3 linked regions of the Saccharomyces cerevisiae S288C genome follow. Changing the gene in region 2 together with the main gene of any one other region gives a genetic interaction. Each region holds a gene or a part of one and is shown on either strand. Other genes may lie near its edges.

The links.
Region 1: mutations in HPA2 (region 2) and HXT10 together harm fitness more than expected from each alone (negative genetic interaction), as found in Saccharomyces cerevisiae (2 studies listed by BioGRID).
Region 3: mutations in HPA2 (region 2) and PFS1 together harm fitness more than expected from each alone (negative genetic interaction), as found in Saccharomyces cerevisiae (2 studies listed by BioGRID).

The regions. Positions count from the first base shown.
Region 1 is NC_001138.5:110,054-114,485, reverse strand, and holds HXT10 (hexose transporter HXT10), read right to left. Parts: upstream 2,142-4,432; coding exon 501-2,141; downstream 1-500. Other genes in the region: YFL012W (uncharacterized protein), read right to left, coding at 3,393-3,839. UniProt on the Saccharomyces cerevisiae protein: Probable glucose transporter.
Region 2 is NC_001148.4:921,909-925,594, reverse strand, and holds HPA2 (histone acetyltransferase), read left to right. Parts: upstream 1-2,215; coding exon 2,216-2,686; downstream 2,687-3,686. Other genes in the region: OPT2 (Opt2p), read left to right, coding at 1-1,291; AQY1 (Aqy1p), read right to left, coding at 2,818-3,686. UniProt on the Saccharomyces cerevisiae protein: N-acetyltransferase that acetylates histone H3 at 'Lys-14' and histone H4 at 'Lys-5' and 'Lys-12'. Also acetylates polyamines like putrescine, spermidine and spermine, and certain other small basic proteins like nuclear HMG proteins.
Region 3 is NC_001140.6:474,127-477,395, forward strand, and holds PFS1 (Pfs1p), read right to left. Parts: upstream 1,215-3,269; coding exon 501-1,214; downstream 1-500. Other genes in the region: SSP1 (Ssp1p), read left to right, coding at 1-333; ubiquitin-binding TORC1 subunit KOG1, read right to left, coding at 1,873-3,269. UniProt on the Saccharomyces cerevisiae protein: Involved in the pathway that organizes the shaping and sizing of the prospore membrane (PSM) during sporulation. Required to localize MPC54 to all four spindle pole bodies, and localize DON1 and SPO14 to four prospore membranes.

The DNA.
Region 1 (4,432 bases), on a different chromosome or scaffold from region 2:
ATGATAAATGCAAAGCCTTGGAACATCGACAGGACTACCCGAAAATAATATGTGTGTTTACTAACAACGCAGTAATAAAGCTTTCATAACGGTAAAAAGAGGTAAGATCCTGTATAAACTGGTCTCTAGTTACTTATATCTCAAAACATTATATATGTCGATGGTACAAGTTTGACCTTACATTGCCTGATTTTTTCAGAAAGATAGCAGGTAGTTGTTATACTACAGTAATTTACTATAGCTAATCTTCATTTTAAAGTGCCCACTTCTTTTTTTTTTTGAAATTATTTCTGAGTAGTAGCTAGCTTATAAACTACTTATATGCATTTATTCACCGGCGTCGCAAATGTGTCCGTCTTATTTTTTTTAATTTTTTTTTCAATTTGTGACGCCATTAATAAAGGCTATTATATAAAACCAATCTCCATGAAATAGAAGTAAAGCATCAATCCATTATCTGTTGTTATTTCTGTTTACCAGAGTACAAGAATATTTAGAAATTATTTACTATCAACAATAACTAATGGTGTACTGCTTGTTGGTTGTGGTGTTCTTCTAGAACTGGGAATCCAACCTCCGGACTTCCATGGCTTTATTCTTTCTTCGTACATTTCATTAACTTCCTCCAGAGTTAATCCCTTTGTTTCGCAAACAAAGAAGAAAACGTAGAAGTACGAAAAGATTAAGCAACCCATGAAAACATAGCCATAAGAAAATCCTATGGATCTAGTGATAAAGGGTGTGAAAAATCCAATCAAGAAACCCCACATCCAGTTCGCACCAACCGCAATGGCCATGGCACGATTTTTAACTCTTAATGGATAAGTTTCTGCCACAATGACATAGGCGATAGGAGCCCAAGTAATGGCAAAAGAGAAAATGAAGAAACAAGTAAAAACGATCATAACATTACCAGCACTTTGCGAAGAAGGTTGGTCTTTCCCTTGTGGCCATAATCTAGTGACGCCAACGGTGGCGAATATGACGAAACAAATTGCCATCGAGGCAGACCCCCACAATAAACATTTTCGACGCCCAAATTTATCCACAATGTATAGTGCAACAAATGTAGAAGCAAAATTAACAGCCCCAAGGACAATGGAAGTCTCGAAAGAGTCTTGCATTCCAACAGCATTGAAAATGGTCGTGCCGTAGTAGAAAAAATAATTACAGCCAGTAAGCTGTTGCAGTGACTGGATAACGATTCCCATTATTACCCTTGGTAGAATTGCTCCTTTATTTGAGAAGAGTTCGTGCCAACTGGCATTTCCAACAGCCCTTTCTAATTCCATATTTGCAACTATAGTATCAAACTCAAAAACAACGCCTGGATCAGTAACTGTGACCTTGTTTGATTTGGCCAAAGACCTTCTAGCTTCTTCATACTTACCTTTTTCTACTAAATATCTGGGCGATTCCGGAACCATAACCATTCCAATCACCATAAAGATTGCCCACGCAAAACACAAACCCAAGGGAACCCGCCACTGTATTGAATTTGAATATTTCTTTGTACCATAATTGGTACAGTAGCCCAAGAAAATTCCAAGGGTAATCATTAGCTGGTAAAAAGAGACACAAGTGCCTCTTAGGTGCTTTGGGGAAATTTCTGAGATCAAAGTTGGCGACAGCACAGCAACACCTCCAACACCCATTCCAGAAACAATTCTACCAATAAAATATTGATACCATTTGTCAGAGGAAGCAATCTGGATCACGATACCAACAACATACACCAGTATAACACACATTAAGCCGATTTTACGCCCATAAATATCGCCCAGGCGTCCCAGCGTTAGGCCACCTAAAGCACAACCTATGTTGAAGATACCGACAATTAGCCCTGTCCTGACATCTGATAGTTGAAAACTGCCGTCCCTTTGTAACTCACCAAACCTTCTCTTGAAATCTGTTTGGTTAATAAACCCTGAAATGGTTCCTGTATCCCAACCAAAAATGAATCCACCAAAGGCAATCATCAGACAGAGACCCATCACCGTCCAGTATGCAATAATGGGTTTGTATGGAATGTCCAAGCTAGCTTCCCTTGTTTCAGGGGTTAGTTTAATTTCATCCTTTCTACTTAGAGAAGTGGATGCCTTGGCGCTAGTCCCCAAAATGGAAACACTTGAACTAACCATCCTCGCTGTTATTTTTTTGTTATATCGATCAACTATATTATTATTAATTATTTATTGTATTTTTATTACGAGAAAGAAATAGTTTTAGATAGATAAACCGTCATTGAGGCGCAGAGCGTACCAACACATTTCTTGTGTCCTTATATAACAATTCCTTCTGATTGGAAAACATGTAGGAACAAACATAAAGAGAATAATTTCACTGGTATAATTCATTTCTGTGTAATAACCCTAACCCAACGGCTACGCCATATCTTTCATAATCAGTCAACTGAGTGTACCCCACATCCGAAACAAAGTATATAACCTTAAAAGTGTCGAAAATAGGTGTCAAATATCGATGAGCACACAAAACCTAGTAGCGGAATTACGACGTCCGTCATTTTCTTAGCGTCGACAAATTTTGATTATACAAAAACAATTCTGAATACTTTGTTAAAAAATACATCCGCTCGATTCAGGGGAGTACAAAAAATAAAAGAAGGCAACTGACAACCCTTGTCAGTCGATAATACAGCGATTAGACTTCTTTCCTTCCTTTTCTACTATAGCTAGCTATAAAGAGCTTGTTTAACAACATATTCAACGCGTTCCGGAGCCGATGAGATGAGGATTGATGACAGTATATGATTTGATAGCGTCACAATAACAGCATCATCACTATAAAGAAACAAAACGAAAAAGGAAACTTAGAGCATTATAGAAAATTAGCTAGTTAATGAAAAATTAAAAATTGAGATTGGTCCTATCATGGCAAGCAAGCTTCCTCTCGTAGTCGCCATCCAGACAGCCGAAATTGATGATACAACGACTGTTTATTTGCGTATGGGATTTCGTGTATACTTCAATGAAAGAAAAAAAAAAAAATATAATAAAACTAATGGTTTTGCAATTTGAAGGGTAAGTTTTTACTGCATATGGCCAAAAAAACTTTTGACTTTTTCATATGTCTATCAAATTATCCATAAGACCATTGCTCATCGAAAGAGATTTCATTTCTTCTCGAAGGCCATTTTTTAATACTCCTTGCAGAATTTTTCCTAATCGTGCATAATCAGTTTTCGTACTTCTCCTCAATGATAACATATTCTTGGAAAGCTGCTTAATGGCGTTTACCAACAATAAATTTATAGACATATACCAAAATCTTCTTTTAGTCCACATATGAACATATTGAAGATATTCTATTGAACAACTTAAAATACTATAAACGCATTCATCTTCTTTTTCTTACTGAGAAATTTTATATTCCTAAAAATTTTGAAATGATCTGAGTTTATTTAGATCTCTTGAACATCCTACAAGAACATTTGAAGGGCAATAATCCTCATCAATACTACTCAATTGTTTTCCATGGGAAAGGATTTCGATCTCTTCCTTTAATATATGTCTTCTAAACCACTTACGTATCCTATCTGTGCTAGAAAGTTTTGTTTTATTCTTCGTATGATCTTCCAATATAAAGTTAGTGTTATTTTCCCACTTCTTGAGGTTACAAACTGGTTCTTTCACTTTCAGCTCCGGATTATTCTGCTTTCTCGTTTCATCCGTTGTTGCGGTAGGTGAATGATTTATTTCAATGACAATGTGTGATACGAGTTCCATTACTTTGATGTAGCCATCATTTTGGAAAGGTGAACTTCCATAAAAAACTGACGAGGAAGACGCAATGGTCCTTTTTGGTCGGGATTTGGGCATCTTTCTATAAGTAGCTAAATTATGGTATTTGATAGCTATATTTGCGACTTATTAGTATTTTGACATTCCATAAAATGCAAAAATTATTTACTATCCTTTTAAATTCAGTTATTATACACGTACATATTTTTTTAAACTGATGCGACAGTTTATCGAGTTTTGTGTCAGAGGACGTGAAAAAATTGCTCTAGTTGAGACCAACATGATTCAGGATGAAAAATTATCCAACGTTCGATTTTCTGGTCTACATGTCATTTGAATAAATTATTTAGCAGACGTTGGATAGAAAGGATTGAAAGATTACATAATGTTATTTCAAAAAAGAGAGAATTGAAATATGCTGGCTGACCTTTACCGAAAACAAGAAGATGAACAGAAGGAAAACCTGAGAGTCGATTGATGTCTCAAAAGACCACTACTGTTATGACACAAAACAATTTAACGACTCTTGATGTAAAGGAACTAAAGCAACACTTTTCTTAACCAAGCCAGTATATATTTTGCAGTATCAGAAATAATCAGACTTTTTTTTTTCTTAGCCCATATTAAGACAATTCTGTAGCATATCGTGTACAACGAAAAACAGGTTACCC
Region 2 (3,686 bases):
CCATTCCTTTAAAGTTACTGAGGTATTAGACAGTGACAATAAGCTAGATGTGAAAAAATATCAAAGCTACTCGCCACCATACTATAGTGCTGGAAATTTGGTATCATATGGTGCTTTCATTTGCGCATATCCTCTGATGATTACATGGTCGTTTATTGTACACTCAAAGTTATTGTTCAATGCTTTCAAAGATTGGGCTTTGAATTTGTGGGCCATGAGAAAACTTAAATCTTGGGTCACAATGTTCAAAAGCGATTACAGGGCGCTCGACGATTATGATGACCCACATTCTAATGCCATGAAAAACTATAAAGAAGTTCCAGATTGGTGGTATTTTGCCATATTGATAGGTTCACTTGTTGTTGGAATAGCTGTTGTAGAGCACTACCCAACAAATACACCAGTTTGGGGTCTTTTTGTTTGTTTAGGATTTAATTTTGTTTTCTTGATTCCAACTACTATCCTTCAAGCAACCACTGGTTATTCGTTTGGTTTGAATCTACTAATTGAAATGGTGATGGGGTACGCTTTACCAGGTAATCCAATCGCCATAATGATTTTGAAGGCTTTTGGTTATAACATCGACGGCCAAGCAGATAATTACGTTTCTAACTTAAAAATAGCGCATTATTGTAAGATTCCGCCAATGGCGCTATTCAGGGGACAATGTGTTATAGTTTTCATTCAGATATTTGTCAATCTAGGTGTTCTGAATTGGCAAATCTCCAATATCAAAGACTTTTGCACACCTCATCAAAACGCAAAATTCACCTGTCCTGATGCTGTGACCTACTATAATGCTTCCGTTGTCTGGGGTGCAATTGGGCCAAAAAGAATTTTCAATTACATTTATCCAATATTTAAATGGTGTTGGTTGATAGGCGCATGCATTGGCATATTTTTTGGTGTTTGGAAGCGCTGGGGTAAGTTTTATCCCAGATATTTTGACCCAATGTTATTTGTAGGTGGAATGCTTAATATGAGCCCTCCATATAACCTGATGTATTACACTTCTGGTATGATTGTTAGTTACATTTCCCAGTACTACATGAAAAGACACCATTTAAATCTGTGGGAGAAATATAATTATGTTTTATCGGCAGGCTTTTCAACGGGCTTGGTTTTATCAGCTATTATCATTTTCTTTGCTGTCCAATATAAAGACACAGCTTTTAATTGGTGGGGCAATACAGTTCCGTATGCTGGTGCCGATGGCGTTGGCTATCCTCTAAAGAACATAACTGATACAGCAAATGGCTATTTCGGCTATGCTCCAGGACACTATCCATGACTAGAACTTTTCTTAGAACGCTATCATTTCTTTATTTTTTTTTCTCCCCTGCACTTGTCTTTTCTATCAGTCACCTGCATGTATTTAGTTTTTATTCTTCTATCTATAGTACAGAGTTACTTTGATATGTAAAAAGCCATCATTTTGTCTTCATACCTGCCAAAACTATAACAGTACACTCTAGTTCAATATTTTTGACACTTTTCATGCTTCTCGCCTTTTCTCTGTGTATGCGGATGTTATCAATAAAGAAAAATGCTTTGATACCAGAATAGGAACTACATTTTTTTTTGGCTCATCGACGAAGTGATAAGGAGCCTGGCAATTGAAAATCAATCAAGAATATTTTTTGCTTCCAACTACAAGTAATGATGGTGTTTATTTTGCATGAATTTTGGTATTATTGCAGAAATACAAGTGGTAAATAGTTTTGTAAACGTATATTTCAAGTTGGAATGAGATGCGTTGCACTACTGGATAATTACTCCGGTTGAAGCATATTCAAATACAGTATCACCGTTTTTTGGGATGATTCAGGGTTAAGCCAGCCGAGTATTGAGAGAGATTGACAACATAGCATGCGGCTGATGTCAGATTTCGAACATTTGAAATTTTCTTGCCTTTATAAGACGTTTGCGAAATACAAGTTACAGGCCGACTACACAATGTATTTATTTCTATTTAATTTCTGCATTGGGTTAGCCTTTTAACGTCATAGTTCATTGTACTTCTCAGTCACTTCTTGATTTGCTTTTATTGGTTGAACATTTTTATGGACGGAACTAACGGGTGGCAAGAACTACCAATTATATTAGGGGAGCGGCAATCATTAAGAGAGGGAACGCTATAAATAGAGCAAAAAGGGCTAAGTATTGCTCTTAGTATTTTATATGCCAAGAAAGCAAACAGCCCTTTCTGTGTAGCATGTCCAACACTAGCGAAGATAACATTACCGTAAGGTTTGTAACCGAAAACGATAAGGAGGGTTGGCAAAGGCTTTGGAAATCCTATCAAGATTTTTATGAAGTCTCTTTTCCCGATGACTTGGACGATTTCAATTTCGGCAGATTCCTAGATCCTAACATTAAAATGTGGGCAGCCGTAGCTGTGGAAAGTTCGAGCGAAAAAATTATTGGAATGATAAACTTTTTCAACCATATGACTACTTGGGATTTCAAGGACAAGATATACATCAACGATCTCTATGTTGATGAGAATTCTAGGGTCAAAGGCGCGGGCGGCAAACTAATCCAATTTGTCTACGACGAAGCTGATAAACTGGGCACACCAAGCGTGTATTGGTGTACGGATGAGTCAAACCATAGAGCTCAGCTGCTATACGTCAAGGTCGGCTATAAAGCCCCAAAAATATTATACAAGAGGAAGGGATATTAAAAACACTAATTACCTCAGTAGTATGGATGTATAGAAAAAAAAAAATTAAAAACAATTAATCTTACTAGTTTTTGCCGAGTATTATAACATTAAGTGCTAGTGAGCGAGAAATAAAGAAAAGGAGGGAAAAATTAGACTTCAGCCACAGCAGAGGAACTGCTGGTTTCACCTTTTTTTTGAGCTTTTTCCTTGGTGCTGGCAGCCTTTTCAGCGGTAACGTAGGTTGTGTAGTCTAAGATTTGCAATAATTGCCATACAGACCATGCTAAAATGGATCCTAACAGCGTGCCAATCCAATAAATCCAGTGGTAATGAGGGAAGTATCTGGCTGCGACAGCAGCACCCAAGGACCTCGCAGGGTTGACACCTGTGCCTGTGTATGCAGTCAAAGCGACGTGTGCGATAAACAGGGAGATGCCGATGGGCAGCGCAGCCATAAAGTTGGTTTCACGCTTCTCCACAGCCGTCATTAAGACTGTTAAACATAGGATAGCGGTGCCGAACATCTCCAGGAACAGACCCCTCGTCCTAGAGCAGCCCAGGCCCAAAGAATTGGCAAAGAGGACTTCACCAGGTGTCATGGCGCTTGCAGCGCCTCCAGCGGCCATTCCAGCAACAATCTGCGAAACCCACATAACGACACATCTTGTAGGAGAGACGGCTCTCGCCAAGCACAGCGAAAGCGACATAGCAGGATTCAAAGCCCCACCAGAGACACCGGCAAAACACCAGATAGAAAACATGACGGAAAATCCGAAACCGATGGCAATCATAATCAATTGACCCGGATGGGAACCGTCAGGCGCTGCAACGAGTGCGACATCATGGTTAGCGACATTGCAGATAACGTAAGCGCACCATAAAAACATGAATGTGCCGCAGAACTCACCGACCGCAGCGATAAAGTGGTCTCTCAGGGTGTCCCTAGAGATTTTAAAGCGATGGTGCTTTGTTTCCGGCTGCTCCGGAGGGATGTAGGCGTCGTCCACACCGGTAGGAT
Region 3 (3,269 bases), on a different chromosome or scaffold from region 2:
TCTGCGAAAGAACTTGAGCCCGATCAATTAGTTGAACTTCTCGCTCAGGAAAAAGAAGAGAAAGAGGCAAAAAATATCAGCTCTTCAACTGCAGAAGTTCCATCGATATCGCAACCTGAAATAAAGAAGGAGAATCTCGAATCAAATGATTCCTTGATTTTAAGAAGCACGAAAAGAAATGTAAATGTCAATGCCGCTAGTTTGAGGAATCTTTCCATTAAAAAAACTCAAGTCAAACCGGAGTCTGCAAGTGAAGAAAGCAAAGTTCTTGCTGCAGCTTTAAATGATGCAAAACAAAACTTGGATGAAAACGTCTGGAGAACTCCTATCTAAAAAACAAACGAATATAGTTTGAACACTCATTCCATGTTCTATGCTTATTGTTGTACATTTATTATTTATATATTCTTAAATATATTTCGAGAGATCTATACATAAACATCAATTTATTATAATTCTACACAAAATTACATTTAAATATTAATGGCTTTCTTCAAAATTCAAAAATCTTTTTGAGAAAATTCATACTCCTTCAGATATTGGTTTCTTATCAACGCTTCAATTTTTTTCTCTTGAATATATATAATATCAGTATCGGTTAAAGCTTTAGAATAATCCGTCTCCATACATGATGTTTTCTCGAATGTAAATTCTGTCTCTTCCCAATCCAACATATATTCATAATCAAAGCAGTTTGTAAATAAATAACCGTCGAACCCCACAAAAATTGGTAATCTTTCAAGCCAGCTTTCAACTTTTTCGGAACAAGGCATGTTTTGTGTTGTCCGTGGACTGAAATATGTCGGAATTTCAAATCCATTATTCGAATTATGTAAAACACTCCAGTTACTAAACTTGACATCTTGGCAATTAACTTTTTCAATGTGATTTAAATAGGATAAATAAGGGTTTGGTAATGGTAGCGTACCGTGGGGATACAAATTTGGCAAACAATTGATTGAAGAAAGCTGTGGTGACATACTGTCAGTAACTCTTATTGGTTTTTCGTATGCAGGCCACTGTTCGTGTTGTCGTCTTCTTAACGCTGGATTGAACTCAGGAAATGTTGTATTCTGTATCTTCCCGCAATCTGGTGGTATCTTATTAATTATCTCAGCAATCGGAGAGCTTCGAAAGTTGTTCATTTTATTTAGCTTCGATGTTTTAGTCTCCTTCAGTTCCGGTGCGGAAAGCTGTGTGTAACCTTGATTCATTTCGATAAAATTTGCGTTTTTATAAAATTCCCAAAAATACTGACTATGGTAGAAAAGATTTCAACGAGGAAGGTGGTAAAGATCAATGAAGTATCTTCAATCATTATGTAGGTTATAAGTAAATGTTTTTGTTTTCAATTATGTTCCATAGTTTGTGGTAGTTTTTCTTTGAAAACGACTGTGTCGGCCAGAATTGCTGTCGCATCACCAAAAAAAAAAAAAAATGATACAAAGACTGGGGATGAATGTTACGTAAACAGGAAAAAAAATATGTCGAAGGAGAGAGAAAAAATATTTAACAAAGTGCATGCCTCTAAACGTCGTAATTGGTCTGGCTATGACAAACAAAAAAATCGATGTTAAAATGTTCCAACCGAGGATCGAACTCGGGACCTTTGCCGTGTGAAGGCAACGTGATAGCCGCTACACTATTGGAACAGACTTTTAATATTCTGAACTTTCTGCTTTACTAAACATCGTATTATTATACGAACATGAAACAATAATTAACAACAAATTCCAGAACTTGCGACCAGCTGTTAAATTCACAATCAGACCAATTTTTTACTCGACTTTTATTATATAATAGATTATATATATATATATATATATATCTCTTTTGCAGCTAAATGAAAGAAAAAAAAAGAAATGGCACATATCAAAAATAATCAATTCTCTCGTCTTCACACTTGTAGATATTTACAATAGAATCGTGAGAATTGGTGGCCGCAATCATCATTCTATGAGGATGGAAAGCCATCGAAGATAAAAATGCATCAGAAGTGGAAGAGTAGGACAGTGACTTTGGGATTCCCGTAGCGGCTAATGTACTTGTTACGCCATTATTATGTGAGTTTTTAAAAGAATTCAAAAGATCTCCAGATGTCGTCCATATCTTTATTTGTTTAGTCCCTGTCGCAATTATCGGAGCATGCTCATGAACCTGCATGCACGTCATTGTCGTTGGTTTTTGTTGCGAACCGTACTGAGAAGTTACGTTTTGATCAACAAACGATTCTACCGGATCTTCGGACCTTATATCCCATAACTCTACAACACCATTGGTAGCTCCACTGACCAATTCTCTGTAACCACCTCTTTGTAAATGAACATTGTTAATCCAAACTCCCTGCTTATCATTTCCAGCTCTCCAGCGACGTATCATGGAATCTCTTGGATCGAGACGGCGATCATATACTCTCAGGGAGCCATCTGCAAACCCTGCTACGAAGATATTACCTGCTAGCTGATCAGCCGTCAAGGATGTAATTAAAGATGATGTTTTTGCAGGAATGTCCACTTCAACCGTTTCTGTATGCGCATCCCAGACACGGATAACCTTAACATCACCAGTTGTTAACAATGATCCTCTTATTTGTAACCATTCGGTTAGTAAACCTGTGGATCTAGGTGTCAATAACATATCGGTCAAGCCTCTCCAGGCGGATACAATTTTAAAGGTGTCGACATCTTGGTAGTCTCTGTATATTTTGATAACACCGTCTGAAGAACCTGTCAATAAAAGGGCGGAGTCATCCTCGTTAATGAGTTTCAGGTCAGTAACTTTTGTGCCAAAAGGAGTACCATTGGAGAATTTGGACAAAGTCTTTCCTTTCTCCCAATCAAAAACTGTAATGGTACTTCTATCATCTGCAGTAATCAGCTGATCTTCAAACTGGGCAAACTTCATCAGTTTTGGTTGACTTTTGTTATTTAAACTAATCAATTTTTTGGACCAATTCCCATAAATCGATAATTTTTTCTCCCCCTGTGTTTCCTGGATAATAGTTTCATTTCTGTTACGTCTCCACAATCTAGCATTATACTCAACACTGCCAGGTTCATCCGCCTCTTGCTTTTTCATTTGTGGTTCTTGAAAATATTCACGTGAATAGTCTAAAAAGGAACTATTTAATGGCAATTGTAAGGGTTCTGTATGCTTCCGGAATCTTGGAGTCTCAGCTGTAGGATAAATATTATTATTGCCATTCAATAAATATAAGCCCGAGGGACCCTTTTTTGAGGTATGCGATTTCATCGAAGTATTTGATGATT